3 linked regions of the Astyanax mexicanus genome follow. The protein of the gene in region 3 purifies or fractionates together with the protein of the main gene of each other region. This does not show direct contact. Links are inferred from orthologs where the notes say so. Each region holds a gene or a part of one and is shown on either strand. Other genes may lie near its edges. The genes, in order: tes, B-cadherin and ctnna1.

Evidence for each region.
Region 1: the proteins of ctnna1 (region 3) and tes purify together in Homo sapiens (affinity purification with mass spectrometry; 3 studies listed by BioGRID and IntAct, with this or other methods). This does not show direct contact. The link is inferred for Astyanax mexicanus from reciprocal best matches to the Homo sapiens genes CTNNA1 and TES.
Region 2: the proteins of ctnna1 (region 3) and B-cadherin purify together in Homo sapiens (affinity purification with western blotting; 10 studies listed by BioGRID and IntAct, with this or other methods). This does not show direct contact. The link is inferred for Astyanax mexicanus from reciprocal best matches to the Homo sapiens genes CTNNA1 and CDH1.

Annotation. Positions count from the first base shown.
Region 1 is NC_064417.1:17,743,574-17,754,711, forward strand, and holds the start of tes (testin), read left to right. Parts: upstream 1-5,682; 5' UTR 5,683-5,815; coding exon 5,816-5,842; intron 5,843-8,889; coding exon 8,890-8,975; intron 8,976-11,138. UniProt on the Homo sapiens protein: Scaffold protein that may play a role in cell adhesion, cell spreading and in the reorganization of the actin cytoskeleton. Plays a role in the regulation of cell proliferation. May act as a tumor suppressor. Inhibits tumor cell growth.
Region 2 is NC_064430.1:28,566,578-28,577,629, reverse strand, and holds the start of B-cadherin, read right to left. Parts: upstream 4,368-11,052; 5' UTR 4,249-4,367; intron 1,708-4,248; 5' UTR 1,431-1,707; coding exon 1,380-1,430; intron 1,134-1,379; coding exon 1,019-1,133; intron 1-1,018.
Region 3 is NC_064409.1:75,354,821-75,365,861, forward strand, and holds the start of ctnna1 (catenin alpha-1), read left to right. Parts: upstream 1-6,271; 5' UTR 6,272-6,547; intron 6,548-11,041. UniProt on the Homo sapiens protein: Associates with the cytoplasmic domain of a variety of cadherins. The association of catenins to cadherins produces a complex which is linked to the actin filament network, and which seems to be of primary importance for cadherins cell-adhesion properties.

The sequences.
Region 1 (11,138 bases), on a different chromosome or scaffold from region 3:
TTAATAATCACTGTCCATTTTAGAAGACATTGTAAACACATCACAATAAATACAATTTTAATTATAACAAGAGAAATAATGGTTTAACATGGCATTCTTCCTTGGCTGTCCAGCTGGTCCCTCAGGCAGAAGTGCTGTTTGTAGCAAATCAAAACCCCCATTTTAACGCTGAGGAAAAGCCGACTGTCCATCATTGTAGAGAGGGACCTTGCGTGTTCGTGCTATATTGTGAAGAACAATGCAGGCGCAGGTGATGTTGCATGTTTGCTTTGGCTGAACACGTCGGTAGTTCAAGCAAGCAAAGAGTCTTTTCAGGACCCCAATTAATCGTTCATTTGTCCCTCTAGCTGTTGCATGGGCCTGGTTAAAGTTCAATAGGTGGCATTAACCATGGTTAGAGTGGGTAACCACTGTCACCAATATGATGTCATCTGAGGGCTTTTGCTGGAAGTTCTTGAAAAAATTGCTCTCCTTAAAGATTCTTGCAGCATGCACTGACCCTGGTCATCTCACAACACAGTTTGTATTGATTAGGTCAGCATGTTCTACAAGTTAAACAATAATGCTAAATTTTGAATTGTCCTCCTTAAAAACTAAATAAAAGAAGCTGGCCTTGTTATTTCTTGTTATTAAAGGCCTTCAACTGACCTTTTGGCATGTTATTGTAAAATATACTCCCAGTAAGTAAACATTAATAAGTTTACTATTAGATATTGTTAAACTGACTCTCTGTTAAACCCAAACAAACAGAATTATGCACAATTGTTTCTTTTTTTGCCAATGTATTTGAATAAAGGTAATCAAACTGTTTCGTTATATGGTAAAAAGTTGTTTTAAATGCTGTTAAAACATGTTTACCATGTCTAAGTGTTTTTAAATCACATTTACAGAACACAGGTTTATTTTCAAGTAATTTATGTGCAAAGTGTGTCCTCAAGTGTGTCCACTCTTAAGGTGGGATGAAAATTATCCTGTTATTTGGAATCAAAAGTATCCAAGATTTCTACTTTTTTTTTTTTTTAAATACGAACTTGAAGCATTTAATCCTGCATGAAGGTTTGATTAAATTATGAATAACCCATTATCTGTTAAAAAAAAAAAATTCTAGTGTAATCCAACAAGATTGATTTAATTCTGGCTTGGGGACAGAAATGGCACAGATTCAGTGAAATGGCCCTTATATTTGTATTTGAGTCAAAGAACCAATTAATATTTTGTTCTTTAAATATATTAACGAATCCAAGTAAACTAATTTATATTACAGTTATAGTGTTATGTTGCCTATCCATTCTATTTGTCTGTAAATAGCGCTTGCTATAATTTTACACATAGTGATTTATTTTTTTAATTTACATTTATTGCATCTAGTCCTCCTTGTTTTTCCACTTAAACATCAAGTCTCTTTTGGCTGTTTCTCTCCGTGAGCCCCATATGAATAAGCAACATTCTTTATTTTTTGAAACCATGTTTAATACTAAAACATAGAACTAAAACATAGAATGCAGCACTTAAAAGACCACTTTTACACCTCTCAGAATCTCAAAGATCTCTGTGAGTTGACCATTTATTTTAACTCTTACCATGGATTTTACATAAAACACCATATTTATAAACTCACAAGAAAAAACATACATTTTAAAAACACTTATTATATATTTACGTATATAGATACTAGATACTAATATATATAGATACTGATACTAATATCTGATATAGAAATTAGTATCAGATTTATTAAATATCAACTCTATTTGCATATATTTGATAATCAATATTATTATAAATTATAATTAAAGTTAATGGTCTATAATTATTAAGATGTGGTTGGTTCTTACACATCCTGAGAACACAGATTAGCCAGAGTCAGACATGGAGCCTTTACCTTCATTATCACCTTCACATCCATTGAACTCCTCATCTGCACCACCTTATTCCCCGTCTCCTCTTCTGGCTTCTTTGACCCTAATTTTTAATTACAGCTTTCATGCATCTGGGCATGCTCTCCAAAATCTTTCACACTTCAGCAAGGCTGGAATTGGGCAGTTTGGTCTTTGCAAATGACGCATGAATAAAGCCACATACAAGGTAATCCTGGAAGAAAACTTGCTTCCTTCTGCTCTGGCAATATTCCCCAACTCTGAGGACAGTGCAGGACAATTATCCATGCCACACAGCTAGATCAATTAATGTGTGGATGAAGGACCACCAGATCAAGACAGTGTCTCCGACCCTGAACCCCATTGAAAATCTATAGAATGTAATCAAGAAGAAGATGAAACAAAGCTGAACTGCTTAAATTTTTGCATCAGGATTTGCATAAGGTCAGTCGCAGCGGCCATTCTGGGAGCAAAACACAGTGTTTTTTCTTTTGTATTGTTGTTAAAACCCTATCTGAACTCGCAATGGTGGTGCCGTCCATCCTTCTCTCCAACGTCTGCTCCCTGAAGAATAAACTGGACTACCTCCGGATCCAGCGGACAACTCAGCGCGAGTTCAGAGACTGCCGTGTGTTCAGTGATTAACGGACTCAATCCCAGACACCGCCATTCAGCCAGACGGCATGCTCTTTTTCCGTGCGGACAGCAACGCGGACATGTCCAGTAAGGCCCGCGGGGTGGGGGGGTGATGGGGGGGTTTGTGTGTTTCAACACAGCATGGTGTAACAACGCTGCACTGGTCTCCAGCTACTGCTTGCCGCTGGTGGAGTTTCGCTATAGTCAGAGCCAGATCATTTTACCTGCCCAGAGAGCTAAGCAACGTGTACATAATAGCAGTGTATGTAGCAACATACTTGTTGAGAGATGCTACTTCTGAAGACTCCATCAACCTGGAGGACTACACAGATTCAGTGACTGGCTATATCAGCAAGTGCATTGATGATTATACTGTCTCCAAAACAATCACAACACACCCCAACCAGAAGCTGTGGATGACTGCTGAGGTGCGTGTGCTGCTGAGAACCCGGGACAAGGCCTTCAGGTCAGGGGACAATGCTGGCCTCAGAACTGCTAGAGCCAAGCTCTCCCGGAGGGTCAGAGAGGCAAAGCGCATCTACGCAAAGAAAATCCACACCCCCTTCCAGGACAGTGCTGACTCTCGGCACATGTGGCAGGGCATCCAGGCCATCACCAGCTACAAAACACCCCCACCTGCTAGTAACAGTGATGCCTCTTTTTCAGATGCGCTGAACACCTTCTACGCAAGGTTTGAAGCTCAGAACTACACAACGGCAAGGAAGACCACACCTCCACCAAACGACCAGGTACTGTGCCTGTCCTCAGCTGATGTGCGGAGAACTCTACTGAGAATCAATCCTCGGAAAGCCCCAGGACCAGACAGCTTACCTTGCAGAGTGCTCAGAGGATGTGCAGACCAGTTCACGGATGTTCTTACAGACATTTTCAACATTTCTCTGAGCACTGCGGTCATGCTGACCTGCTTTAAGACGACCACCATCGTTCCTGTGCCAAAGAAGTCTCAAGTGTCCTAAATGAAGTGCTTTGCGAGGCTGTTCATGAGGCACATAAAAAATCAGCCCCCTCTCCTCACAGAAGGTTTGCGTATCATCCAAATCGATCAACAGATGATGTCATCTCAACTGCACTCCACCTGGCTCTCACCCACCTGGACAACAAAGACTGCTATGTTTGAATGCTGTTCATCGAGTTAAGTTCATCATTCAACACCATCATCCCTCAGCATCTAATTGCAAAACTGAGCTTGCTGGGCCTGAACTACAACACCTCCAGCACCACCATACTGAGCACCGGTGCTCCCAGAGCTGCTCAGTCCACTGCTGTTCACCCTGCTGACTCATGACTGTACTGCAAAGTACAGCTTAAACCATGTCATCAAGTTTGCTGATGATGACACAACTGTAGTTGCCTCATCAGCAAGAACTACGAGTCAGCATACAGAGAGGAGGTGCAGTGGCTGACAGACTGGTGCAGAACCAATAATCTATCTCTAAATGTGGATAAACATGTCGACTTCAGGAGAGCACCAGGTGTCCACCACCCGCTGAACATCAACGTATCTGCTGTGTAAATTGTAAAGAACACCAAGTTCCTGTGTTTTCACATTGCAGAAAACCTCACCTGGTCCCCTAAAACCAGCACCATAAAAAAGAAAGCCCAGCAGTGCCTCTACTCCCTGCGGAGACTGAGGAAAGCACATCTCCCACCTCCCATCCTCACCATGTTCTACAGAGGGACTGCAGAGAGCATCCTGAGCACCTGCATTACTGTCTGGTTTGGGAACTGTAACACTGGAACGCAAGACCCTACAGCGGATAGTTAGGACAGCTGAGAAGATCATCGGAGTCTCTCATAATTTCACTACACTGTGTACCTGTACTCAGATGTAATGACAATAAAAGGCTTTTGACTTGACTTGACTTGAGACACATGAAACTGATTTAAAATTCTTGGTTATTTTACCAATTATTGATTCTGAACTCTTCCTTACACTCACACTACACAGCTACACAACCACACACACACACCCTTACTTCACAGCTACACACACTTACATATACACTCACACTACACAGCTACACACACACAGTCCATAGATACACACACAATTACACTACACAGCTACACACACAATACACCGCTACACACACACACACACACTCACATACATTCACATTGCACAGCTACACACACTCCATAGAAACACACTTACTCACACTACATAGCTACACACACCTACTCACACACACAGGAAACAAACATCTAACTACACAAACACAATCCACAGAATTAAATTAAAAGCAAACAGCTAAAAGTTTGGCAAAACCTCTGCTCCACTCTACTACTCACATTCGTGGGGAGAGGGAGGGAGAGAGAGAAAATGTGTGTGTGTGTGTGTGTGTGTGTGTGTGTGTGTGTGTGTGTGTGTGTGTGTGTGTGTGTAAAATGGAGCTCTGCATGCTCACACTCTCCACACCCTGTTAAGTAAAGCCACAACTTCCTCTGTGATAGTGCTGAAATGAGTAATGAAGTGGCTCAGGCTGTGTTTAGTGTTGGCTGTGTGTATTGTGTGTACAGTGTGTACAGTCTGTAGTGTTCAGTGTGTGTAGTGTTTAGTGTGTGGCGTGTTCACTGTGTGTAGTGTAGTTTTGCAGTGTGTATGTTTTCAGTGCGTATTGTAGTGTTTGCAATCTGTAGTATTCGGTGTGTGTAGTGTTTGCATTGTGTATTGTTTGCTGTGTTTAGTTTTTGTTCTTTGTGACATTCTTCATATTATTAATGTAAATATAATAACATTAATAATCTAATATTCTCTCATATAAATAATACACAGTAGTCAGTGCTTATAATATAGTTTTGTTCCTAATAGTAACCTAGCTGTTCTCCATAGTTCTTATTCTAGTTCATATCCATGCAGTTTAATGTTACAATATCAGAGGAAGTTCTACTAATGTTTCTTTTATAAGAGCGTGAGATCTGCAGGTGGAGACTGTCCGACTTCACTCATCTCTCACCCCACCCATCTCACCCCACTAACTGCGCCCCCTGGTCGAGGCGCTGCTGTTTCTCCAACACGCCTATTCCATCCCCTCCGTGTGTTACACTCTCAGTGCGGAAGGATCCGTGCTCGGCTCTGATTGGTCCTCTGAATCCGGTGGTTTCAGACTATTGGTTGAGAGCTGCAGGCTGGAGGACAGAGGAAGAGTGAACAATGAACTGAGAGTGAGGAGGAGGAGGAGCTTATTCACCCCGGACTTTACCTGCAGCTCAGTCCCACTGTCTCACAGTTACCTTCACTGAGCCCACCTCCCTATAGCAGCTCAATAGAAGAACCCGCAATGGAAATCGAAAAGGAGGTGAAAAAGGTGAGTCCTGCTCGGTTTGGGGAGTGTCCTGTATAGTCCGGTAGACTCCTGCTCGGTTCGGTGAGTGTCCGGTAGAGTCCTGCTCGGTTTGGGGAGTGTCCTGTATAGTCCGGTAGACTCCTGCTCGGTTTGGGGAGTGTCCGGTAGAGTCCTGCTCGGTTTGGTGAGTGTCCTGTATAGTCCGGTAGACTCCTGCTCGGTTTAGGGAGTGTCCGGTAGAGTCCTGCTCGGTTTGGGGAGTGTCCTGTAGAGTCCTGCTCGGTTCGGTGAGTGTCCAGTAGAGTCCTTCTCGGTTCGGGGAGGGTCTGGTACTGTCTTTCTCGGTTTGGGGAGTGTCCTGTGTAGTCCGACAGAGTCCTGTGTAGTCCGGTAGAGTCCTGCTCTGATCAGGGAGTGTCCGGTAAAGGTGACAGGGGTCCCAGAAACGCCCAGGACGGTAGAGAAGGAAGTTCTCCATGATGGCGAGAGGCTGAGGTTAGAGCTGAATCACGACTGAAGCCAGAGAGAAACCTGCCAACACAACTCGCTTAACTCTCTTCTGTAGAGGAGCACATTTATTTAGAATGAGCCTTTAAATCTATTATTATTATTGGTAGTTTTCATTGTCAGAATCATGGAAGGGCTTTATTTTGTTATTTCGTTTATTTCAGCTGTTCATTGTTTACGACAAGCGCTGATGGTTAGGCAAAACACACAAAATAGGATTTAATAACATTTTTGTTAGCAGGCTAGGCCCAAACCTGTAGACAACTAGGATACCAACGTATCCTTTTGCGTTCATTAAGTGTCCAGACACCTCATCTAATAGTAATTGACAGTTGGTAAAATTGCTATAGAAAAGCATTGGCAGCACAATGGGATACTTCCTGGAACAGCTGTACACCAGCCTAAGGTCACCATTACCCATGACTAGAAGGATATAATGTTTACTCTGGGGTGATGGAGCTCTATCCCATACTTTTTGGATGAGCTGGATGAGTTTCAGCACTAAATTACCAAATGAAAGTGCTCCTGTGACTGAATACAGTCAGATCTTTACAGAAGTGTTTCAAAATCTTAACATCTATAAAATGTACATGTTCCTCTGCAGCCACATAAAAAGACCTTAAATAGAACGTCTATGAGAATAGTCTGCAGTAAGACTATGACAGAACAAAAGTGCAGTGTATGGTTTAACTAAAATCAATAACTGGTATCTTTTGTCTCCTCGGATGTTAGTCGTCCATCATGGCCCTCGTCATTTCAACTGTGGGTCAGATGTCAGAAAGGTGCAGAGTCCTCACTGAAGGCCTTTCATTCATTCCCCAGTGTTTGAATCGGCCCTTTTTTAACTATGACTTCATGTTCACAATTCCTGCATATTATTTTCATGCAGTGAATCTGCTGTTCTACAACATGCCAAAGGCCTTAGATCTGGTGACTCAAGAGGTCAGTAAAACCACTGAACAAACGATCATGTTCATGAGACCTGTGTTAAAATGTTTTTTGATTTGTGACATTGTGTCATGCTGAAGTAGCCTTTAGTAACTGGACTGTTGCCACAAAGCATGTTTTGTCCACAGAAATCCTGAAGTATATACTGAAAAGTGATCAGAAGAAAAAAACTCAAACCAATTCTGACACCAACAATCCCATTTTGTCTGCATACATGATGGGTGATGTGAAGATCTGAAGCTGGTTGATGTGAAGACCTGAAGCTGGTGGCTAGAATCTGCATGGTTTTATGCATTGCAATGCTACTACGTCACTAATTAGATAATTGAATGAATGTGTAATTGAGCTATTCCTAGCAAAGTGCTTAATGAGGGTAAAATAATAACAAAGTAATTTATCTTAGTTTCAGAGCAAGAATGTTTAAAATGTAGAAAGGACTGGTCCTGATTTGTTTTGATCAGAATGCTAAAGTGGAGTAAATATAAGCCTGCTGTACCTTGCATGCTGTTCCTAGTGTGCTGATGTTACTTCCATTTGAACGGGGAGAAAGGAAAGGCTCAAGTGTTTAAAGATGTGAAGAGAATCATACACAAACATTTACTTTAAGGCGAGTGAATAATGTTTTTAGTGTTGACATACTGCCATCTAACGCACAGTAGCACAGAGAAGAAACAGCTGTGAAGGTCAGACTAAACCTCTTAAAATGCAGACATAGAGATACAGTATTTTATTTTAAGCATTTATTTAGTATGAACGGGAGTGCTAGCAGTTATTTTATACTACTACTACTTCTACTCATAATACTATTATTATAAGTAATAATAATAATAATAATAATAATAATAATGTTTTATTAATATGGTGCCTAATATGGCTACAAACCCAAGAATGCTTTCCCTTTTTTTACATATCTGATCGAGCATTTTGTAGTGATCGGGGCACAACACAGTACCAGGTGACACCTCTCTATGCCACATGTTCCTGCATAGCAAGGTCTGGTTCTCATAAGTGGTAAATTATATGCTGCTGGTAGATAATGGGATTAGTGTAAATATTAGTTGCAATGTTAGTAGAACCTATAAACTTTAGTTAGGACGTTGTGGTAAAAGTCCAGGCAGAGATACTAGGCCTCTTGAGAGGTGGGGTAACTCCGTTATTTTACCGCAACAGAGGACTAAAGCTTTCAGAACAGGAGAAGACTATTTAGTGCCCCCAGGCTTTTCCTCACACCCTCAAATACTTATCCTTATATAGCCATCCCAGCTGTAGCTGTTTGGTGTGCACAGGAAGAATGATGATGTGGGAAAATTTTGGCAGTGCTCTTCAGTGTACTGACAGCAGTGAAAAGTGAAAATGACTGAACTATCTTACAGACTGTTCATAAAGTATGTAAATAAACAGCTGTTTTGTCTAAGTAACAGTGACCTAGATACACAGACAGTGTGTTTATAAAAAATGGTAAAAATTGGAAATATCCTCTCAGACAGTATCACACTTTCACAATCAAAACTGGTCTCAGCGAAAAGCTGCTCTTAAGGGATTTAAGGCTAGAAAAGAAGCCTTTAAGCAGGATTTGTGCATAATGCTGAGATGTTCCTGTGCTGTATTGGCAGATTACCCTGGGCCATGAGGTAGGAGCTGGCGCCGCCTGTCTTAAATGCAAGGACAAATGTGAGGGATTTGAGCTGCACTTCTGGAGGTATGTATAGAGTTTATTCATTAATGCACGCCTAGCATTGTGTTTTTCATCATCATTGGTTTTGCCATTGAGTTTCATTGTGCGACTGATATCATCAATGTCACATCAAAATGTATGTCTTTACCAAAGCTGCCCTGTGGTTTACACTAGCTAAACTTAATATTCTTTTAAAATTAAATAAATACGATTGCAGTCCATAATAGCTTGGGATAATTCATTTTATTGTTTCTTAGTAATAGTCCTGGTGCCCCCATTCTCTGCACATTTAGTGCGTTCCTATGTTGTTCTGTTGAGACCCTTGCAGAATTTGCTCTCTTGTTTACTCCCATTGTTATTTTATTTTTTTCTTCTACAGCTTACATTTCCCTTTTTATTTTGTCAAAATCCAGAAAGGAAAACCCAGTGACTCAGTGGGAGTGTTCTTGCCATGAATTCCACTCGGCTAGTTTTCTTAAAGAACACTCTACAGGTGCCAGAGTGCAAACTGTGCCCCTTTTCTTTTACCACAGTAGCCCCACACTCAGCCCTAGACATGGGGACACAGTGGGAGTATTGTTGAAAACCTTCAGTCTGGGAAGGAGATGACCATTGTGTTCTGAATGATGTCTGGTGAACTGGTTGGGGCTAGACCATTCAAAGACTGAAATCATTTATCTTTGAGGATTTAAGCTGTAAACTTGTGCTCCAAACAAAGCAGCTTCCAAAGAGTCACCGGAAACAATTCACTTTTGCTTTTTTTCTTTCTAAGGCAGCAGGGTGACTTTGCATTTCCTCTTGACGTTGTTGGGTTTTGCTTTGTTAGCCATTGTTAGCGTTCTCTGCTTTCCTGACAGATTGAAAGTGGTTATTTTAGACAAGGTCTTTTAACCTTTTAGCATTGCATATTTAAGTAGCCCCACATTCAGATCTAAGACCAATGATTCTTGTTTAAGAGCAACCCAACTCTGGCAACTTAAATATGGCCATGTTCTGAAGTTGTCTGTGCTAACCTAAAATGATATGATCTCAACATGTCCCTGCATTATATTTAGTTTTGTTTCCACAATTCCCTTAAATGTTAGATATATTTTAAACAATCCTTGGATTATTCCACATAAACACACCACATGGCCTTTAAGAAATTCCCTCAAAATTTTTAAAATAATTGTCAAAAACTATTACCCCCAGTTAAGCGAATTAGTCATCCACATGCCATTGGTCCCCACATGGCTGCCACATATATATATATAAGTATTTTCAATAAATGATTTTCATGAAACTTAACCTGCAAATCACTGGTTCTTTAAAATCTGGATAAAACAGATTTGAAAATAAAACGGTAGTTAAATTACAAAATCTGGTTTATGATTATAGACTAAAGTCTTGGCTGTTTTTTATTGATTGCTTTTAATATGTATTTAGATTTGATTTGACATTCTTAGTACACATAATGTTAAATATTAACGTTTGTTCATTTTTATACTGTTTGACATGTATGCTTTAAATGATCTAACATCATACAACGTTTACTTTAAGCCTAAATAAAAGAATTTGTATTAAAACGGACCATTACTTTAATAACTCTACAGCATTGAATAAACATATTATACATATTATAAGCATATTCCTTTAAAACAAATGAAACTCCCTCTGACTGTGGAGACTTTAAATCTGACAGTGTTGAAAGTCACCTCATTATAGCATACAGTTCCAAAATTCACACCACTCAAATTGCTAAAAAATAACAGTTCTGAGCACTGTTATAAACATTTTTCAAATAATATAATATAATACTTATCTATATTTATCTATATCTATAGTATCTATATTTTACTGAAGGAATTCAGTTTTTTGATTACTTTTTACTTCTACTCCTTATATTTTCACACAATTATCTGAACTTTCTACTCCTTACATTTTAAAATTAGCCTTGTTACTCCTATTTCATTTTATCTTGTTTTCATTCTGGCTGTAAAGAACTATTCAGATAAATCTCTCCATCCAAATAGAGTGAATTTGATTGTGGTTGGATGAGAAGTACAAACATACACCATTCCGATACCCTATTGGTTTACATACAATCCATCAAACCTGCACACGTCACATTACACTCCAGTCGGGTGTATGCACAGAAATATGAAGAAGTTTAAATGAAAATATTAAACATACAGGAGCGTTAGTGAT
Region 2 (11,052 bases), on a different chromosome or scaffold from region 3:
AAGTTGTAACAGCATTTTCATTTTTATGTACATTTTTTTGGTTTAATATACTTAAATGTGGGCAAGTATGAGTGTCTTTTTTTTGGACCATTAGAGTTAGAGCACTGTGTTTCCATTTTCATTACCATTTAGTCTACTTTTTCAAAGTTAATATCAACAAAATCCAGAACAAATCATAGTTTACAGACTTTATATAAAATACACAGAAAGGAAATATGACTAAATCTTAAACACTGAGGGAATTTTCAAACTACTTCAGCAAAAACACAACTTCTGAGCTAGAACTTTATCATATAGCTAGGTTACCAAAGTTAAAATAAGCTTAAAAAAACAAACACTACACTGTACACTGATATATTTAGGTGTGAAAGGAGTTTTTACTCATATAAAAATAAAAACACACAAATCCAGAGCTCACAGAATGACAAAAATGACTAAATGCCAAATATTACCTTATACTTATATATTTTGTATTTATCTAGGTATACATTTTCTGTGTTTACTTTCAATTGTTTGTTTGCAGTTTATATGCAATAAAAACACGCTACACTTTATTCAGTTCTGTTCTAGATTATTGATGTTACATTACTTTATTTTTGTTATATTATAAACATTTTTATTTATAAACATTATTTTATAATATCATGGTCTTAGTTATTTTACAAAACAGATAAACATTTATAGATTTTAGTTTGTTGTGTTGCAGTAGTATTCTCTTAACAATCATTAAAAAACGTTTGTCAGAACCTCGTTAATATCGCAAAAGTACCCTGAAATATCGTGATACTATTTTAGGGCCATATAACGCAGTCTTAATTTTACCAGCATATTTTCCATATAGTCAGAAGACTAAACTTTAAAGTGCAAAAGTATTCATGTTAGTGGTCTTTACCAAAGTTTAAACCAGTTTACAGACAAAAATTCACATTAACAAGTATAAATACTCATCGCAAGAGTCATTTTCCAATTTTTAACATCACATTTCTTAAAAAGTAAGGTTATAAAACCAGTGTCTTACCTCTGCCCAGCCTCCTGCCTCTGTGAAGGTGAGGTCTGTGCACTTTGAAAATGAACACCGCTGAATCAAATCCGTTTGAACATGGCGTCTGATCAGCAAAGCTGGTGGAGAGCACCTGTAATAAAAAGGACGAGAAAAAACACATTCAGCTTCTTTTAACTGTTTTATTTACTGAAATAAACGGATTTTAGTCCAATAAACCCAAAGAAATAGCAATAAAACCGTGTGTAGCTGATGTTTTACTTGGTTTAAATTCATTTAAAGCCAAACTACTAACTCTTAGTTAGCTAAGCTACATGTTTGACCATATTTGTAAGAAAAACAGCTGTTTAAAATCTTCCCCAATTAAAGCAGAACTTACCTGCAGTAGAACGAGAAGAACCCCCAGCCGTACACTCCTTAAAGTCTCCATGTAACAGAAAATAAACCGAATAATCCTCGGAAATCCCCTCTCTCTGCTCTCCTCAGAGCTGGAACTCTTCCCCAGGCTAAATGGAGGAACTGCGAGGCAGCAGGTAACTAGCACAGTTTCTGCACGTGACGCAACCAGGTGACCTCGCCCATCCGCCTCGCGCTGACCAAGTATGGGCACAGGTTCTCTAGGCTCCTCCCCCAAAACTCCAGGTAAGACCTTCTCCGAGTATCTCCCAGCTCCTTCTGCTCCACCACCTGCTGAAGACTGATCTAACCTGCAGAAACGAGACGAAATGTATATTACTACTGTATATAAATACTTTACTACTGTTCTTAAGTACTAAAATACTGTATTTGTGTCTACAGGAGTATAAGTTTTACTTCACTACTGTACTTAAGTATTAAAATACTGCATCTGTATCTCATAGAATGTTACTTTTACTTCTACTCCTACTTTTACTATCTAATGGAGTATTGTTTTTACTTAAGGACTGTACTTAAGTACTAAAATACTGTATCTGTATCTACTGGAGTATTACTTTTACTTCAGTACTGTACTTAATTATTAAAATACTGCATCTTTATCTCATGAAGTATTACTTTTACTTCTACTCCTACTTTTGCTATCTACTGGAGTATTGTTTTTACTTAAGGACTGTACTTAAGTATTAAAATACTGCATTTGTATCTCATGGAGTGTTACTTTTACTTCTACTCCTACTTTTGCTATCTACTGGAGTATTGTTTTTACTTAAGTAATGTACTTAAGTACTAAAATATAGTATCTGTATCTATTGGAGGATTATTTTTACTTCACTACTGTACTTAAGTATTAAAATACTGCATCTGTATCTCATGGAGTGTTACTTTTACTTTTTCTATTGTTTTTTACTTAACTACTGTACTTAAGTACTTAAATGCTATATCTGTTTCTACTAGAGTATTACTTTTTGCTTTACTACTGTACTTTAGTACTAAAACGTAGTATCTACTGGAGTATTGTTTTTACTTCACTACTGTACTTAAGTACTAAAATGCTGTATCAGTATCTACTTGAGTATTATTTGTATTTCACTACTGTACTAAAGTACTAAAATACTGTATCTGTATCTACTGGAGTATTATTTTTACTTCACTACTGTACTTAAGTACTAAAATGCTGTATCTGTATCTACTTGAGTATTATTTGTATTTCACTACTGTACTAAAGTACTAAAATACTGTATCTGTATCTACTGGAGTATTATTTTTACTTCACTACTGTACTTAAGTACTAAAATGCTGTATCAGTATCTACTTGAGTATTATTTGTATTTCACTACTGTACTAAAGTACTAAAATACTGTATCTGTATCTACTGGAGTATTATTTTTACTTTACTACTGTACTTAAGTACTAACATGCTGTATCTGTATCTACTAGAGTATTATTTTGACATCACTACTGTACATAAGTACTAAAATGTTGTATCTGTATCTACTAGAGTATTGTTTTTACTTAACTACTAAGTACTAAAATACTGTATATGTACTCATATTGGAGTATTATGTTTACTACACTACTGTACTTAAGTACTAAACTACTGTATATGTATCTACTGGAGTGTTTCTTTTTACTTTACTACATATTTTGGATGAGTTTAATACTTTTACTCTGATATTTTTTTATGTGCTGAATTGTTATTTGTTACAATTATAAAAATGTTAGAAATCATTCTGAGCCCACATAATCTTTCTTTTCACTGCTTCTGTAACAACTACATAACAAAATATTGTACTTTTTTAGTACTTCAGTACTACATTTACTTACTTGATACTTAAGTACAAAAATGTAAAATACTTTATTACTTTTATGCTTAAGGTTGGAGCTTAAAAAACCCTTCAACTTCTTGATTGAGCACTTGTACTTTTACTTAAGTCTGAAATACATGTCTGGAAGTGAGGTAAGTGAAGTTTACCTATTTATTAGTGGTCAATTAATAAAACAAAAATCAGATTAATCCCAGCATTTTGTAATTAATCACAAGGTTTATCTTTTAAAGATTAAGCTTTTAATAGTGCATATTTAAATAAAATTAGAACATTAGAACATTATTCTGTTATTTAATCATAAATAAAATCACAATACATTTTTTATGTATTTATTTCTCTGCAGTTTTGTAGTGGGACAAACATAATAATGGAGTAGGATTTAGACCTGGCAAACACACTAGAGTAGAGCTACAACTACTCTACTGCAACAACTAATCAATTAAATCAGTTGGAAACTAATTTAATAATTGATTAGTTAATTCTACAGTAAGTTGCAAGCATTAGCATTTTCCCTTCCACTTTAAATATGGCAGCTCCAGCAGCAGATCCAAATCAAGCTGTAGTTTACAACGTTACAAAAAGTTCTATTTTTTCCCTCACTTTTTATCAGTTTTATTAGAGCTTATTTGAGTGTTCAAATAAGACATCTCACATGCATTAAAAAAAATAATCATAATAATTTGACACACAGCAGAATGATGGCAAGTTTGTTTGTTTATCTTTAGTTTAGTCCTAGTGGAGGTCCAGACAAGAGCTGGGCGATATGGTAAAAATACCTGTATCATGAGATGAATCACAATATTTACAATATTTTTTTTTTTATATTTAAAATGATACTCAAAAAATATAATCAAAATGTTCTATAACTTATCCTAAACATTACTAATTACTCTCTCTGTGATTGAAAGCTAATTAATTTGTTAATTTACACTGAAGATATCCACAATATACTCAAAAAAAGTATATTCTGTATCCCACTAACAGAATATATCTCAAAATGCCCACCTCAGTTCAGTTTTGTCTGTGCTGGATCATCCTATCTTCTCCTTGAGAATACCATCCTCATCCTCATGAGTCGATCTATAGATGAGCTACAAAATCCAGCAGCAGAAAGTTTGTCTCAATCAGAGGATCAGACTGAATGAAGAACTGAACTGAAACACTCTGTCTATTCTGACTTTGCTCCTCAGGCTCCTCCTCCATTCCCAGGCCAAGCGTCCAGAACCACCACTGACTGTTTGTGTTCTTAGCAGTGGATGCAGCACAAATCCCTCTGATATTGCATGAATATAATGAACAGCAGGGTTTCTCTTAAATAAAAAGAGCAGCTAAAGCCCTGAGCACTGCTTACTTAACGTACTGTTCATATGAGAGGAAATTAATGTAGAAATAATTATTATATTAAATTATATTATATTACTTTTTAAACTAATATGGCCTACCTGCTGTTTAAATGCAAGCAAATAACACCAGATACTATGTAAAGAGGACAAGATACTAAGTGGTGAGCACAAGATACTATGTGGAAATCACCATATGCGGTATAGTGAGGACAAGATAGTCAGTGGTGAGCACTAGATACTTTGCGGAAAACACCAGAGGCTACATAGTGAAGACAAGATACTAAGTAGTGAGCACAAGATACTATGTGGTAAACACCAGATGCGGTATAGTGAAGATGAGATACTAAGTGGTGAGCACTAGATGCTATGTGGTATACACCAGTTGCGATATGAGGACAAGATACTACACTAAGTGGTGAGTACCAGATACGATGTGGTGAGCACCAAATATTATGTGGTACACACCAAATGCTATATGATGAAGACAAGATACTGCACGGTGAGCACCTGATACTATATTGTAAACACCTGATACTATGTGGTAAACACCAGCTATATAGTCAGGACAATATACTAAGTGGTGGGTGAGCACCTGATACTATGTGGTAAACACCAGATGCTTTATAGTAAGGACGAGATACTATGTAGTAAGCACCAGATAACCACCAGTGTAGTAAGCACCAGGTAACCACCAGTTACTTTGTAGTGAGCACCAGATACTATGTGGTAAACACCAGATGCTATGTAGTGAGGACAAGATACTATGTGGTGGGTGAGCACCAGATACTATGGTAAGCACTAGATACTAAATGTTGGACACCAGAAGCTCTCAGATATGTACCATGTACTATGTGGTGAGCCCCACATAAAATGAGGTAAGCCCCAGAGACTAACATGTAAAAACAACTGTTTACTGCCACATACAGTAACATCTGGTGCCCCTTACATAGTATCTGGTGCCCCTCACATAGTATCTGGTGCTCACCACATAGTATCTGCTGCTCACCACATAGTATCTAGTGCTCATTGTACCAAGTCAAGGAGTGATCAGTCTGCTCAGTGTCAGGTGAAATTCAAGTCCTGTCTAGCCTAACTTTGCTCTCAGGGCTCCTCCAGTCTCAGGTGAAGCCCTCAATGATCACAGCTCCTCCAGGAAAATCTCTGACAGACTGATTTAACATCATTCTTGTGATTTGGTTGCGTTTATTTTGTCTAGTATTCGCTTAAACTCGCCGAGATACACCAATACAATCTGACATCTGATGCTTATTACTCAATTCCACCTTAAAAAGTGAAGCAGTTCATTTTAAATAATAAGTTAAATACTTCCACATCACATTAACACTGCCTTATTTAATGTTTTCATTCCACCTTAAACAGTGAAGCAGTTACAGGTGCTTGGGCTAAACTGCTGCACTCTTTAAGGTGGCAGAATAAAGAACTGCATTTTCTTATTTTCCTTCTATGCCAGTTTAAGAACTGCAGCTGTTACATAATTAGTGTTTGTCAGAGGAACTATAACTTAGTTCCGCTGGAATAACTATGACGTTTGTTATAGTTATTCCACCTTAAATTCTACATCTACCTGCTTAAACACAATCATATTCACATGAATCTCCAGCATGAAATGAAACTCTGGTACTTTAAAGCAGTAACTGTGTGAGGAGCAGTCAGTCTAGAGACAGAAGATAGATGTGATTGGGGATTACATTTCTCTTATATCATTTTAACTACATTTTATCAGCTTCAAAACTTTACATTTTGTCAGGAGGGACAGTGTTGTGCCAGTTCACAGCTTTTCTAAACTAGTTCAAGTTCACTTCATGCATGCTCAAAGTGAACAGTTCACGTTGAAAGTTCACAATTTTAATTCTGAACTAGTTCAAAGTTCAGTTCATTTTACTTTTTTTGTGAGATATTCAAATAGATACTTTTTTTCACACTACAAGCTAGAAATCACTATACGTTCTTTGAAACGGCTCATTGTAGACATTTGATCATGACACTGCGATTGTGGGTTTCTTACCAGCTGATGAAAATGTTCATAAGGAGAATCGGTGTCTGTCTCCCTGCATCACTTCCACTAGACATTTTTTTTTAAATTGCAGAACCAGGTGCATCATTTACAGTATTTAAAAAGGAGAATTTAAAGATGTGTAGGCCTCCACATGGGATGAAGCTGACTGGAGGAAGCTGAAATAGTCTAGTCCAGGGGTTCTCAACTGGTCTTAGCCCAGGACCAGTCGCGGCCCACTTTTATGGAATAGAACGCAAGCAAACTTATTTTTTAAAAATGGCCTTAAAAATCCATTTTAACATACATATGCAAAGTGAATTTACTAGTATTTCTTTAAGAAACTGAGGAGGAACATGACAACTAAATGTTTGCATTACATTACATTACATTTGGCAGACGCTTTTGTCCAAAGCGACTTACAATAGTCAAGAACAAAATAGAAGTTAAAGGTAAAACATTTTTTAGACAGGGCTTAAAGGAGGTCGAAGGGAAATAAAGGGATAGAGAAGTGAAGGAGGGGAAAAAGGAAATGAGGTTAGAAGTAGTTAGTGTGTTAGAGGTGTTAGGAGAGTAAGTGCTCTTTGAAGAGCTCTGTCTTCAGGAGTTTATTAAAGATAGCGAGAGATTCTCCTGATCTGGTAGTGGAAGGTAGTTTGTTCCATCGTTGGGGAACTCTGTATGAGAACAGTATAATATGTATAAATGTATAAAAGTTACAATAATAAAATTAAAAATCAAAACTGTGCAAAATAAAAGAGGATACACAATAAGATATTTCATTAGTAACTCCCTGCCTCTCTTTTTCCCCCAATATAAAAGACAAGTACAAAAAAGCATTATCATTATAATAATTATTATATATTTTTTATGTTTTTTTTTTTTTTCAAGCTGTCTGCGACCTACTCAGAACAAGTCCGCGACCCACTTTTGGCTCCCGACCCACCAGTTCAGTTGAGAATCGCTGGTCTACTCTATCTTTGCTGATAACTGAACGTGTTACAGGCTGCTGTACACAAGGCTGCTCACAGGATCTCAGCAGTTGGTTGATATTTGCTATAACTGAAAGACACTATTCATGCCTGTGCTCTCCTCCCTCAGCGAGAGAACCCACAGTCTGTTCCCGTGGGACGGCCGGAGAGTGGAGCTGTGAGAGGCTTTATCCTTTCCCAGATTCCAGCGATTGATTTTTGTGCTGCCACTCAGCAATCCGGCTGTGTGTTAATCCTGTTTATTGCATAACAAATGTAACTTATTCTGTATTTGTTATTTAGTGAATGTCTATTATCTTGTCTGTAAATCAGAAACAGGGATGTTTAAAGCCATTGCTTTGACCTTTGCATGTGTTACTAACAATTGATTTTAAGCTTTTTTGACTTTGTAAATATAAATAAGTCTATTTAAGTACAACAAGGGTTGGACAATGAAACTGAAACACCTGGTTTTAGACCACAATCATTTATTGTCCCGACGGACAGTTCTGGTGGAAACAGGAGAGTTGAGGTGCACATTGAATTCTGCCGTGATTTGGGCAGCCATGGTTTTATGTTTTTTTGGATACAACATCCCTTTCAGACAGCTTCCTCTTACAGCGTCCACAGTTAATCCTGTTGGATGTGGTTGGTCCTTCTTGGTGGTATGCTGACATTACCCTGGATACAGTGGCTCTTGATACATCACAAAGACTTGCTGTCTTGGTCACAGATGCTCCAGCATGACGTGCACCAACAACTCTGGTATGTCACCCATAATGTTGTGTGCATTGCAATATTTTGAGCAGAACTGTGCTCTTACCCTGCTAATTGAACCTTCACACTCTGCTCTTACTGGTGCAATGTGTAATTAATGAAGATCGGCCACCAGGCTGCTCCAATTTAGCCATGAAACCTCCCACACTAAAATGAAAGGTGTTTCAGTTTCATTGTCCAACCCCTGTATCTACACAAATAATTTAGTGCAGTCTAGTTACTTGAGAATTTCACATAAAATTATATTATGCACTACTTGGTGTTTCTTTGTAAGTGTTTGTCGTCGAATACATTTGTAAATTTGAGTCTAAATGCCAAAGTACAATTTACAACATTTTACGTCCTTACTGATAACAATCTTAAAATATTTTTAAGTCAATGCTAATTGGATTTATGCTGATGTTGAGTTAAGTGTTTTTAATCACTGTTTTAACTTTTATTTAATTTTAAACTGAACTGGAGTGAATGTTGGACTGAATGGTGGGTCACTAGTTTCACTCTGGTTTGATTGATTTGCTGAGCAGAGCTTTTCTGATGGAGTTTTTTTTAAAGTTTAATCCTGATGGAGTGTACACACTTATAAGTGTTCAACTGATGTATTGGTGTATTTAGAAATGGGCACTAGCTTCTGACACTGATAACAACACAAACGGAAATTTCTTAACCCTGTTCCAGCCATTAATTATCATTCATTTGTCAACGAGCCATTAATTCAATGTACTCTATCAGGGCAGGCCACCATACTCTAATCCACAGCCACACTGACCGTCATCCCTTGTTCCTCCATATTTACTCCTAATCATTTAAAACAACTCAGTATATACTTGCTACACCATGGCATCCTCCTAGCAACACCTTAGCAACCAACCACTTTTTTTTATAACAACCAACTAGCAACAGCCAATCAATCAACCCCTTAGGAATGGCGTAGAAACACATTAACAACCATTACAATGCATTAAAATACTGTAGCAACCACTTAGCAACATTTTAGGATCCAATAGGAACCACTTTAGCTGCGCAAGCTGTTTTTTTATGATATTTAACAAAAATAAATTATAATATTGTTTAATATTGTTAGATATTCCTCATGAATTACCATGAAGTGTATTAATCTTTTCTTAACTCAATAAATAAATGTGATTTTAAATGTGATTTTTATATTAAATTGTGATGTTAAAGAAGTTATTGGGGGATCTCAGATGTTTGAACACAGCTCTGATCTGGAACACTGTGGTGAAGATGACTGCACAGTCTTTCCCAGCACAGCCTGTTGTTCTTTAGCTTCTAAAAGCTCTTACTCATCAGACTGCATCCTGTGCGCTGGTTGGTTATTAGGGTATTAATAATGCAGCAGTGTGTTTCAGCGCCCATTTATGCACAGTGTCCATTTCCTCATACCACGAGCAGAATAAACAAATACCTGGACAATGCTGGCTCTGTATTAAAGCACCGCTGCTGCACTGTTTTCTAAGGCAGTAGTTAAGAGAATATTACATTTACTAGATCTTCCAGCCATATGTGTAGCACAGGACCTGGTATGTTTATTCATATGTTTTGAAAAGGTAGCAGAGATATTGGATTAGACAGTAGATTTATTATCTAAACTTCTTCATCTCAGTATATCATTATATTTTATTCATTTAACTAAATAATGACTCATGTTTAATATTTTATTGGATTATGTGAATTATGTTAATGTCAGGTTTTCCAACTACCAAGAAAACCATTACTTTGGATTTCCCCTGTGTTATGTTTTTGTTGAAAATATTTATTATTTTCATAATAATTCTAACAACAAAATACACTGCCTAACCAAAAAAGGTTACCACCATAAAAAAAGGTCATACACTCTAATATTTAATTGGACCACCTTTAGCTTTGATTTGGACGTGCATTTACTGTGGCATCGTTTCAATAAGCTTCTGCAATGTCACAAGATTTATTCCATTCCAGTGTTGCTGGACTAATTTTTCACCAAGATCTTGCAGCAGCATTGATGATGGTAGAGTCTGACCACTGCACAAAGCAGCTCTTCTCCATCCAGCACATCCCAAAGATTCTCAATGAGGTTAAGGTCTGGACTCTGTGGTGAACTCTCTCTCAATCCATGTGTGAAAATGATGATCTCATGCTCCCTGAACCCTGAACTCTTTCACTATTCCAGCCCCATGAATCCTGGCTTTGTCTTATCTTGGAATATGACCGTGTTCATCAGGGAAGAACAAATTATTCCATTGATGGAATAACCTGGTCTATATTCAGTATATTCAGGTAGTCAGCTGACCTCATTCTTTCAGCACATACTGTTGCTGAACCTAAACCATATTTTTAGCCTTCTGAAAACGTTAAAGCAGCTTTATGCTGCACAGATATATATACGCTGGAACAAAGAATTTACTTTCTTGCTCAGGCATCAGTGGCTCTGGCCAATCAGAGGAGACAATGTGCTCACGTGGCTTATTAGTGCACATTTTAATGTGTTTATGTCCAAATAAACAAATTTGATCAGCTAATCTGGATCATCGACACTAACTACAGGTGTAAAAACGGCCTTTTTTACTCAACTACATACTAATACACTAGTACTGTGATCCCCTTATCACCATTTGTGCAATATGTTTAATGTGCAATATTTTCTCACCTTTTAATCTACTATTTATTTGATATTTATTCACTGTTCCTCTTTGTGCAATAATACTGG
Region 3 (11,041 bases):
GTGATGTATGGGTTTAGGGGCAGGGCAAGAGGGAAAGATTGATTGGCTGAGCTGCAGCAGCAGCAGTGTGCCTTTGATAGTGGTGAGACGCAGATGGTTGGACGTCAGCAAGAGGGGGCGGTGGGGTATTATTGAGACTGATTTGCATATTGTGATTTGTCTGTGCACCAAAGTACACGCAAACATCAGCCAAGTCTATAGCACAGTTAAACCTGAGAGGGCGCTGCAGAGGAGGAAAATAACCAAAATAAAAGCGTTTTTTTTAAAGGTTAGGAAAGGTTTATAAAAATTATAAGCAGGACTGGTATGTTTCATTACTTTAAAGGAACACATTTTAGCTATTAATTAAAATAATATGGTTTAGGGTTTAGTGGCTCTTAAACTGAGAATACTACCAGAACTAAGCCAAAAAAAATACCCTAATGCGACAGTAAAACAACTTGTCTCAATTTCTAGAACCTAAATATAATGATTACTATGCAAAAACATGTACAAATCCTGTGTATATACTAATTTTAAATGATGCCTTGAAAGTGCCTATATTATGATCAATTGCATTTTACAGTTGCAGGTCAACACAAAACATTAATTCTTCAAAAAGGTAATGTAACAATCAGGGAGTGAATCAGATGCTCGTAGATAAAAAAAAAAAAAAACAACCAATAGGGTTTCTTAGAAAAAGGTCAGCTCAAAAGAGAAATGCAGAAAACAGTCCAGGTCAGTAAGATCCAAGGCAAAACATTACACAAGGGAAGATCCAAAGGAGTAAATGAGATTCAGGCAGAGGTTAACACCAAGAACTACAAAAAAATCAGCAAAATAAAGACAGTAAACCGAAGACGAAAAAGGGTTATAACAAAAAAAGGCATAAGAAAAGGATAAACACTCACAAGAACAATACCGAGCAAAGAGTGTTAGATGGTCTGGGAAAACACTGCACTGACTTTGGACTTGAAGTGTGAAGTTTCCACCAATCAGTGATGGTTTGGAGAGACATGTCATCTGCTGGTGTTGATCCACTGTGTTTTATTATCAAGTCTAAAGTCAGTGCAGTTTTGTTTTCCCACAAAATCTTACAGCACTTCATGCTGCTTCCCTCTGCTACTGACAACTTTTATGGAGATGCAGATTTCATTTTCCAGCAGGACTTGGCACACTGCCCCCACTGCCAAAAGTACCAATTGTTCTTATATAATATTCTCATTTTCTGAAACACTGACTTTTGGTTTTTCATTGGCTGTAAGCTTCATAATCATAAACAATAAAATAAATAAACGCTTAAAACAGATCACTTTGTGTTTAATACATCTATATAATACAGTATATGAGTTTCACATTTTAAACTGATTTACTGAAATAAAGTAACATTTGGATGACATCCTATTTTTTGGAGATGCACTAGTGCTGTATGTTGGCTTCAAGAGCATTTTTCAACAAAGATCACTGCATTTACCATACTGTCCCAACTTTTTTCCTGATTTAAGTTTGTACACTGCGTGAGAGTGAGCTGTACAGTGGTAGGAGCTCAGCTCAGATATTTGGCCGAGCTCCTGACTGAGACGTTTTCATGACAGTGGAGGAGGTTGAGGCTTGCAGGGCTTGGAGAACATTGTAACATTTGAACCGAAGTACAGAAGTACATTATATTTTATACATTAGCCCTCTGGATGAGTGTGTGAGTGTGTGTGTGTGAGAGAGAGAGAATATAAAAGAACATGCCAAGAGCTTGGGCTGTCCACATTCTGTAGTCTGGAACTGAAGGAAAGAGGGATTCATGCTGGAGGAGGAGGAGGTAGATGTGATAGATAGGTTGGCGTGAAATCTAACCTTAATAAGAGTGCCATTCTAGGCCAAGTCTAACGCAGCACTGCGAGCGTCTGAATGGCTGCCCAGCAGCGGGGGAGTGTGTCTGCTCTGCTGAGCGCTATGTAAATGAACACGACACTCAAGACATATTTAAATAACAGTAATGATCTGGCTGGGTTAAGACTAGCCGTTAAAACAGCTTAAGCTTTAACCTAACAGAAATAAAACAGCTTGAAATGGAAGGAAAAAACATGACTTTTTGCATTAGTTATGTGTTGGGAATTATAATGATGATGATAAACATTTGCATTATCTTGTATCCATGTGTACTAAAAGGGTAAACTCATATAGGGGTATATTTTTATTCTTTTGATATAATTATCACATGTATAAGAATATAGACTACACAGAAATGTATGTATGTTCCATCATAATTACTCTTTATTTTCACTTATTATTTAAACCCGTCATGCATGTGTCCACCCTTCTATGGCAAACTGTCTGAGAGAATAAACGATTTTAGTAAAAACGGGCATTTAATGAAAACATGTTTGACCTAAATTTGCAGAAATGTTGAATTGTTCATGGTGACTGTTCTTGTTCTGTTTCAAAATTACATTTTGACTTTCTTTCTTTATTTTAATTACTGTGATATTTTCATATTTTTATTATTTGACAGGGTGAACAGCTTCAGCTTTACCTCTTTAAGCTAGATATGAAGACAATATGCATTATATCATTTTTAAAAAAATGGAAAAGCACTTCATGCTTCCCTCGGCTGACAACTTTTATGGAGATGTGGATTTTCCAGCAGGACTTGGCACACTGCCCACACTGACAAAAGTACCAATTGATCTTATATAATATTCTAATTTTCTGAGACACTGATTTTTGAGTTTTTATTGGCTGTAAGCCAAAATAATCAACAATAAAAGAAACTAGATTGCAGTTCCTACAGAAACTGCGAGTGTGATTGCAGTGCTGGCCGGGGTACCCAAACTTTTGACCCGTGGCTCCATTACACACAGTACTGGAGTTCTAGCTGCCGTCCTTCGATCTAGCTGCCATCCTCCGATGGCCCCATTCATTCCTATGGGGCCACTTCGTACGACAATCGTACGAAATTCGTATGTCGTAACGTTTCGTGACGCATATTTTCGGAAAGAGCTCAATAAGTTCTACAGGTCCTCAATTGGTTTCATCTTCGTATCTCAAAAATTGTGACGTACACGGCCGTGCAAAGTTCTGCCCATTCATTTTCAATGGGCAAAAAAGCGCACACTTCGATCGGAAAGCTGTATACAAGCCCACCATTCCCGATAAGGACGCACGTTTTGTCTTTTGAACGAAGTCGATATCTCGAAAACTGCGGCACTAGTTAACCGGACAAAAAACAGGTGGAATAATAATAATAAGAAGAAGAATAAGACTTAAGAAGAACAATACTGTGATTGCATACTGCAATCACACTAATAAATGCTTAAAATAGATCAATCTGTGTGTAATACATCTATATAATGAGTTTACTGAATTACTGAAATAAAGTAACTTTTCAATGATATTCTAATTTTTTGAGATGCACTAGTAGTACATGTATAATATCAAGGATTAGCATCAGCCAAGAATTCCTACATCGAGCGTCCCTAAATAAAATCGTAAAAGAGAAGAAAAATTACCACAAAATTTCAACAAGATATTTCCACATCATGACCAGATATCTCTGACTTTGTATTTAAAATAACCAGATTGTGTCTCAAAGTAATGAAACAACATCTCAAAATATTCAGAAATAATTTCTAAATATTGAGAACATTAAGAAGATCTCAAAAATAATGGAAAATCTTGTCTAAATGACTTATGACTCTTGACTCTTTATTTTTATCTTTATCTTTATTTATATATGTCATTTACTGGAGAATGGCCCAATGACTAGCATTCATCTCAAACAAATTACTTAGTTTCTAAAAGTAACGAGATAGCAATTCCCCCTATGGAGCCCCTAACGTGACATTATGTAAAAAAAAAATGTGGGAACGAGATCCTAAGGCGTGGAAGAAAATAATTTGGCATGGGAACAAGATAATTAAGGCATGGGAACGAGATTATTAAAGCGTGGCCACGACTTATTAAGGCGTGGGAACAAGTTAATTTAATCTAGCCGAGAATAATAAAGCTGGCTTTTCTGTAAATTAATGCCCATGAAAAAATATCACTCCTGCTAAAGGCACTCAGTCCTGTTACTGGAACTACCTCCTTTTAGTGGCACTCATTTTAGTGTTAGTTTTTATGTTATGAGTAACAGGAAAGAAAGTAACAGGAATGAGTTTCAAATCAAATGTACATAAAAACTAATGAGTTGAACTTAATTTTTGTCTTCCCATGATCTTCAGAAGAACCAGCTGATGTCACTTCCTGTTCTAGATGTGACTTGTAGAATGTTCCAGATTGTCCAGATGGGGTAATGTGTTACGGTAACAGAACCGAGTGAAAACCAGGGACACAACTAAAGTGTGTTTTTTGACGTAAAGGTCTCTTTCCGCTGAAATATATCTTTTCTTGTTCTTTGTGAAATACTGTAGGTCTCTATGAATTGTATATGATGCTGCACATGAAACTGATTCTTAGGCTCCCTTGTCTGCAGTAGTTTGTGAAAGAAAATCCTCAGAAGTACAAGTTGATCAGAGAGATGTAAAATGTCAATCAGTGATATATTTGCATATAAATAGCAAGAACCAAATCATGACTTTCTTTAGAGACCAGTAATTCAGTGATCTAAAGCAGGGCTAAATAAAAACACCGGAGCACTTAAAAAAAAAAAAAAAAACACAAAGCATTCATTTATACTAGAGACCACAAGGATATGTTTTAAAATGATTTAAAAAAACGGTAGAATGGGACCTTTAAATATTATGAATTAATTATGAAAAACATATTTTTAAAGCATAGATGGGATTTAAAGTCACACAACAATGCAAAAAAAAATATATATATATTTCATGGTAAAGTTTATAGTCAGACAGTGGGGGCAAATAACAAATGCTATTTTTTCAGTGTTCTAAGTAGTTTTTATTAATGTTTTTAATTGCATATCTTACTTTTGCAATTGGGTAATGTACAAGATACTATGCTTAATAATAAACTGTATTTTAAAGTTATTTTGTGTGCACATTTAAACATGTACTTTACTGGAGACAGAAAAAGACAGAAATGGCACCCATTTGGTGGAATGGCCCAATGACTAAAGGTATCTCAAGCAAATTACTTAGTATCTAAAATCAACGAAATAGCAATTCCCCCCTATGGAGCCCCTAACGTGACATTATGTAAAAAAAAAATGTGTGGGAACGAGATCCTAAGGCGTGGGAATAAAATAATTTGGCATGGGAACGAGATAATTAAAGCATGGGAACGAGATTATTAAGGCGTGGCCACGACTTATTAAGGCGTGGGAACAAGTTAATTTAATCTAGCCAAGAAAAATAAAGCTGGCTTTTCTGTAAATTAATGCTCATGAAAAAACTGAATATTATATCAAAGCTCCTTTAATCCAAAGATAATCTTTAGTAAGAAAATAGAGAGTAAACTGGTTTATTTTTATTTTAATCTCTTAATGATTTATGATGATTTATGATAGCACACATCTATTTTTTTTACATAATGTCACCTTAGGGCAGGGGTGTCCAAACTACGGCCCGTGGGCCATTTGCGGCCCGTTTCCTTTTTTGGAGCGGCCCGCAAGGTATTTTAGAAATAGAATGAACGTTGGCCCGCTGTTAAGCAGGTTTTTATAATGTGAGAAAAAAAAGCAGTTGTAGCGCAGAAAAAATGGGCCAAATAGTCTAAAGGTTGCCGTAATTAAGGGAGTTTAATATTAAGAGACATCATGAAATTAAACATCAATTTGAAAAATCTTAGTTTACACAACACTGTCAAAGATAAAGATAGTAAGTCAAGTTAAATGGTGTGTAAATGAAAGTAATCAGGAAAATGTATTATTTAAAGTGGTATATTTCATTATTTGTTTTATTACAGAGTCTGTGGCCTGTGACTTCAAATATATTTCTCCTTCTAGCCCCCAACAAAAAAAGTTTGGACACCCCTGCCTTAGGGGCTTCGTACAATTCACTTAATAACGTAAAATAAATAGAATCTAGATGTATTTTGTATTTTCAGCAGTTAAATAGAGGTATTTAAGCTAAATGTGCAGTTTTGTAGTTACTAGTGCTGGAGTGTGCAGTCTGTGCTGGTCTGTATCCGGTATAAATCAGCAGATCTAAGAGCTGAGGGGGATTAATGTGTTGTTCTGTAATCTGAACCTGTGTGTAATGTGTGTGAGAGAAGATTAACAGGTAAATAAAGCGGTAAAGGTGAAGCTCGAGCCTGCAGCCACACCCAGCCCTCACCTGAGAACAGCCCCCTCCCCCTCTTCCGCCTGCTGCGTCACTGCCGCCATTCCAGGAACAGCTCCTCCCCCCCTCCGCTCCCACCCAGAACAGCCCTGAAAGGGAGAAAAGCGAGGCGTTCAGAAAGTGTGTATAGCGCGGATCTGCTGAGGAAACCAGCTGAGGATCATTTCAGCCTTTTTACCCGCGGTCTGAGTGCGTGTGCAGGGCTTTTCACCCACCGGAGAAAGCTTTAATACCGGGATCAGCGGCGGGAGGAAAACTTTCACCGGAATTTTAACCGCTCTTCCTCCATTTTGAGGTTTCGCCCAACTTAACTTTGTGTTTATCGTGTTTCGGTGAGTTTAATTTACTGTTTTACAGCCTAATCCTCGCTTTAACTGGCTTTAATTTGATTGTGAAGCTCGTATTATATGAAGTTTGTGTGAAAAAGCTGGAAAAAGGGAGCTGAAAGTTGATAGTTTGTGAAAATTCGCGCTCCGGTTTTCCAACTTGTGGGATAACTTAACTCAGCTAACATTCAGGAGAGAGTTATGGACTCCTCCCTAAAGCCTGGGGTTAAGTGCAGGTTTTCCGCCTTTTTAGACAAATTACCGACTTTTAAAAGCTTAAAAATCCTCTATATTTATTCCTGGATGTTAAAACAGGTGTTTTTAAACCATAAAATCCATTAAAACCAATAAATATAACATTTTAATTTCAAAATAAGTAACGTTACCTATTTACAGGCAAAATCCTTAACTTTAGCTGGCTAGCTGCTTGTTTGTTTGGGTTTTCCTAGTTTTATTTAAATTAAGTTTTAAAAGCGTCATTAACCATATATATTGTTATCCCTGGATGTTAAAACAGGTGTTTTTAAACGATTGAATCCATTAACAATATTAAATGTAACTTTAAATCCTAAAAAAAAATACTTTAGCTCGCTAGCTGCTTGTGTTTGGTTAAGTTAGATTCTTTTATTTTAGTTAAATCTACACATTTTAATAAGCTTTTGAACCTATATTTATTTATTTCTGGATGTTAAAACAGTTGTTTTTAAACAATATGTGATTTTTAAAATCTCAAAAGTTCTAAAATATGGGAGAAATCCATAACGTTAGCTGGTTAGCTCCCTGTGTTTGGTTAGTTTTTCCTCATTTGAACTAACTTAAACTTTAAAAGCTTCCAAAACCATCTAAATATCTATCCCTGGTTTTTAAAACATTTAAATCCATTAAAACCGTTAAATATCACATTTAATTTCAAAATAAGTACCTAAATACATGCAAAATCCTTAACTTTAGCAGGCTAGCTGCTTGTGTTTGGTTAGAGTCTTTCATTTTAGTTACATTTACACTTTTTAATAAGCTTTTAAACTCATATTTATTTATATCTGGATGTTAACAGTTGTTTTTAAACCATTAAATCCATCAAAACCATTAAATATAACATTTAATTTCAAAATAAGTACCTAAATACAGGCAAAATCCTTAACTTTAGCTGGCTAGCTGCTTGTGTTTGGTTGGGTTTTCCTTTTAAATTAAGTTTTAAAAGCGTCATTAACCATATATATTTATCCCTGGATGTTAAAACTGTTGTTTTAAACCATTAAATCCATTAAAAACATTAAATGTAACTTTAAATCCTAAAAAAAATATTATTTACCAAAATATGGGAGAAATCCCTGACTTTAGCTGGCTAGCTGCTTGTGTTTGGTTATATTCTTTCATTTTAGTTAAATAGACACATTTAAATAAGCTTTTAAACCCATATTTATTTATTTCTTGATGTGAAAGCAGATGTTTTCAAACAATATGTGACATTAAATCTCAAAAGTTCTAAAATATGGGAGAAATCAATAACTTTAGCTGGTTAGCTCCCTGTGTTTGGTTAGTTTTTCCTCATTTTATTTAAGCTAAACTTCAAAAGCTTCCGAAACCATCTAACTATCTATCCCTGGATTTTAAAACAGTTGTTTTAAACCAATGAAAACAATAAATATGACCTTCAGTTTCAAAATAAGTCTTAAATATAGGCAAATAAAAACTTTAGCTGGCTAGCTGTCTGTGTTTTGTTCAGGTTTTCGTCATCTTAGTTAAATTACTACGTTTTAAAAGCTTAATAAACCATAAATATTCATTCCTGGACGTTGAAACAGTAGTTTTTAAGCAATACCAAAATATAAGAGAGATCCTTAACTATAGCTGCCTAGCTCCCTGTGTTTGGTTAGCACTCTATAGCATTCCCACACTTCCTTAACTAATTCCACTTGGTTAAGCTAGGCTAATAAGCTAGCTAGCTGGGTAACAACTTGGATAACTAATTAGTTAGTTAAGCTATCTTTTTAAAGGTTTTTTTTTCTGGTCTTTATAGTACATTTATATTTCAGAAACTTAAAGAAACATGTTCATTTGAATCTATAATGCCCTTCCTGTGTCTCTTAGCCAGTCACAACCATGAGTAATAGGCTACGGTTTAATTACTCAAAATACATTTTGTCCAAATGATAATTAAATAACTTCTTACAAATACATTAATTGTCAAATTAAACACACAAAATATCACTACTATAAGGTTTGAGGTAAAGAAACTAGCTAGCTTAGGCTGTGTTGTCCCCACTGACCCCTCTGACCACAACCAGTGGGATTTTTGGGACTCCTCCCTAAAGCTTGGGGCTAATTTTAGATTTTTTGCCCTTTTGCCTAAATTTACAACTTTTTAAAAGCTTCCAAAACCCTGTATATTTATCCCTAGATGTTAAAACTCTTGTTCTTAAACAATTCAATCTATTAAAACCATCAAATATAACATTTAATATCAAACCTGCCTGTGTGTGTTCAGGTTTTTCTTATTTGATTTAAATAACCAAGTTTTAAAAGCTTCCCGACTTAGAAATATCATTGGATGTTAAAACATTTGTTTTTAAACAATGTGGCATTTACATTTTCGAAAAGTACCAAAATGTGGCATTCCCAAACTCCCTTAACTAATGCTACTTGGTTAAGCTAAGCTAAGCTAATTAGCTAGGTAGCTGGATGGCAACTTGGATAGCTTAATTAAAGAACTAGCAAGTTATCCAAGTTTTTTATGACTTTAAAGTATATTAATATATCAGATAAACCTAAAGAAACATATACATTTGAGTCTATAATGCCCTTCACGTTTCTCTTAACCAATCACATCCATGAGTAATGGTTACTACTCAGAATGTAATTTGTAAATCCAGTTGACAATTACATAATTTCTAACGAATACAGTACTTAAAAATATGACTTTATTAAAGGTTTATTGTTAAGGATTAGCTAGGTTATATGTTGTCCCTGCTGACCCCCCTGACTACAACTGGTGGGATATTTAGGACTCCTCCCTAAAGCCTGGGGCTAAGTTCCGATTTATTTTGCCTTTTTACTTAAATTAATGACTTAACATCCACGGATAAATACAGAGTTCTGGAAGCTTTTAAATCAGTTGTTCTTAAACCTTTGAACCAGCATTGAACCATCTATTAAAATGATTAATTATTAAAATTCAAAATTATTACCTAAATAAAGGCAAAATCCTTAACTTTAGCTGGCTAGCTCCCTGTGTTTGGTTAGATTTTCCTCACTGTTGGTAAATTAACAAGTTTAAAAGCTTCCAAATCGACTAATATTTATTCCTGAATATAAAATACCAAAATGAGGGAGAATAGATATAAAAGTTAGATAACTAGTAAGTTAGGCTATTTGAGTTTTTGTCTTTAAAGTATATTTATGTATATCAGGTAAACTTGGAGAAACATGTCCCATGCCTCTTAGCCAGTTACAACCATTAGTAATAGGCTACTACTCAATTTCTGTTCAGTTTAATTCATCCAGTTGACAATTACATAATTTCTAACGAATACAGTCATTACAAATATCACTTTATTTAAAGGTTTAATGTCCTCCCTACAGCCTCGGGCTTAGTCTAGATTTTCCACTTTTTGTTGCTTAAATTAACGACTTTAAAGCCCCCCAAACCCATCTATAGTTATGCCTGGATGTTTGTTTTATTAAAGCATTAAATACATTTAATTCATTATATGTGAGTATTTCCTAAACAAGTACCAAAATATAGGAGAAATCCTTAACTTTAGCTCACTAGCTGTTTGGTTAGATTTTCCTTGTTTTGTTTAAATTAACAAGTTTTAAAAGCTTCCAAACCCATAAATATTTATTCCTGGACATTAAACTGGTTGTTTTTAAACATCTTTGACGTTAAATCCCCAAAAAGTACCTACATATAGGAGAAACCTTAACTTAGATTTAAAATTAAAAAAACTAATTTTTAAAGTTTCCAAACCATTGAATATTTATTCCTTGATGTTAAAACACTTGTTTTCAAAAATGTCACATTAAATCCAAAAAACAAAAAGTATTAACATTTGGGATAACTCTTTAACTTTAGCTGGCTAACTGCCTGTGTTTTTGATTTGATTGTATTTTATATTAGTTAATTTTACACCTTTTTTTTAATAAGCTTCTTAACCCATATTCATGTATTTCTAGATGTTGTTTTTAAACAGTGTGTGCCATTTAAATCCTAAAGTACCAAACAATATGTGAAATCCTTAACTTCAGCTTGCTAGCTGCCTGTGTCTGTTTAGCAGCGCTTGTTATTCCTAAAATCAGTGGTGTTATCTATCTGGATGTTCAGCTTTTGTTTAGCTCAGGAAATTTGGTTGTGTTTTATGGTATATTTAAATTGTTATGAAAAAGGTTATAAATATAGTTTAAATTGCCATCTGAGTGTGAGGGACGGGGAAACCAAGCCCTTCCTGTGTCTCTTAATCACGACCATGAGTAATCATAGGTTACTGATGGTCACTGGCC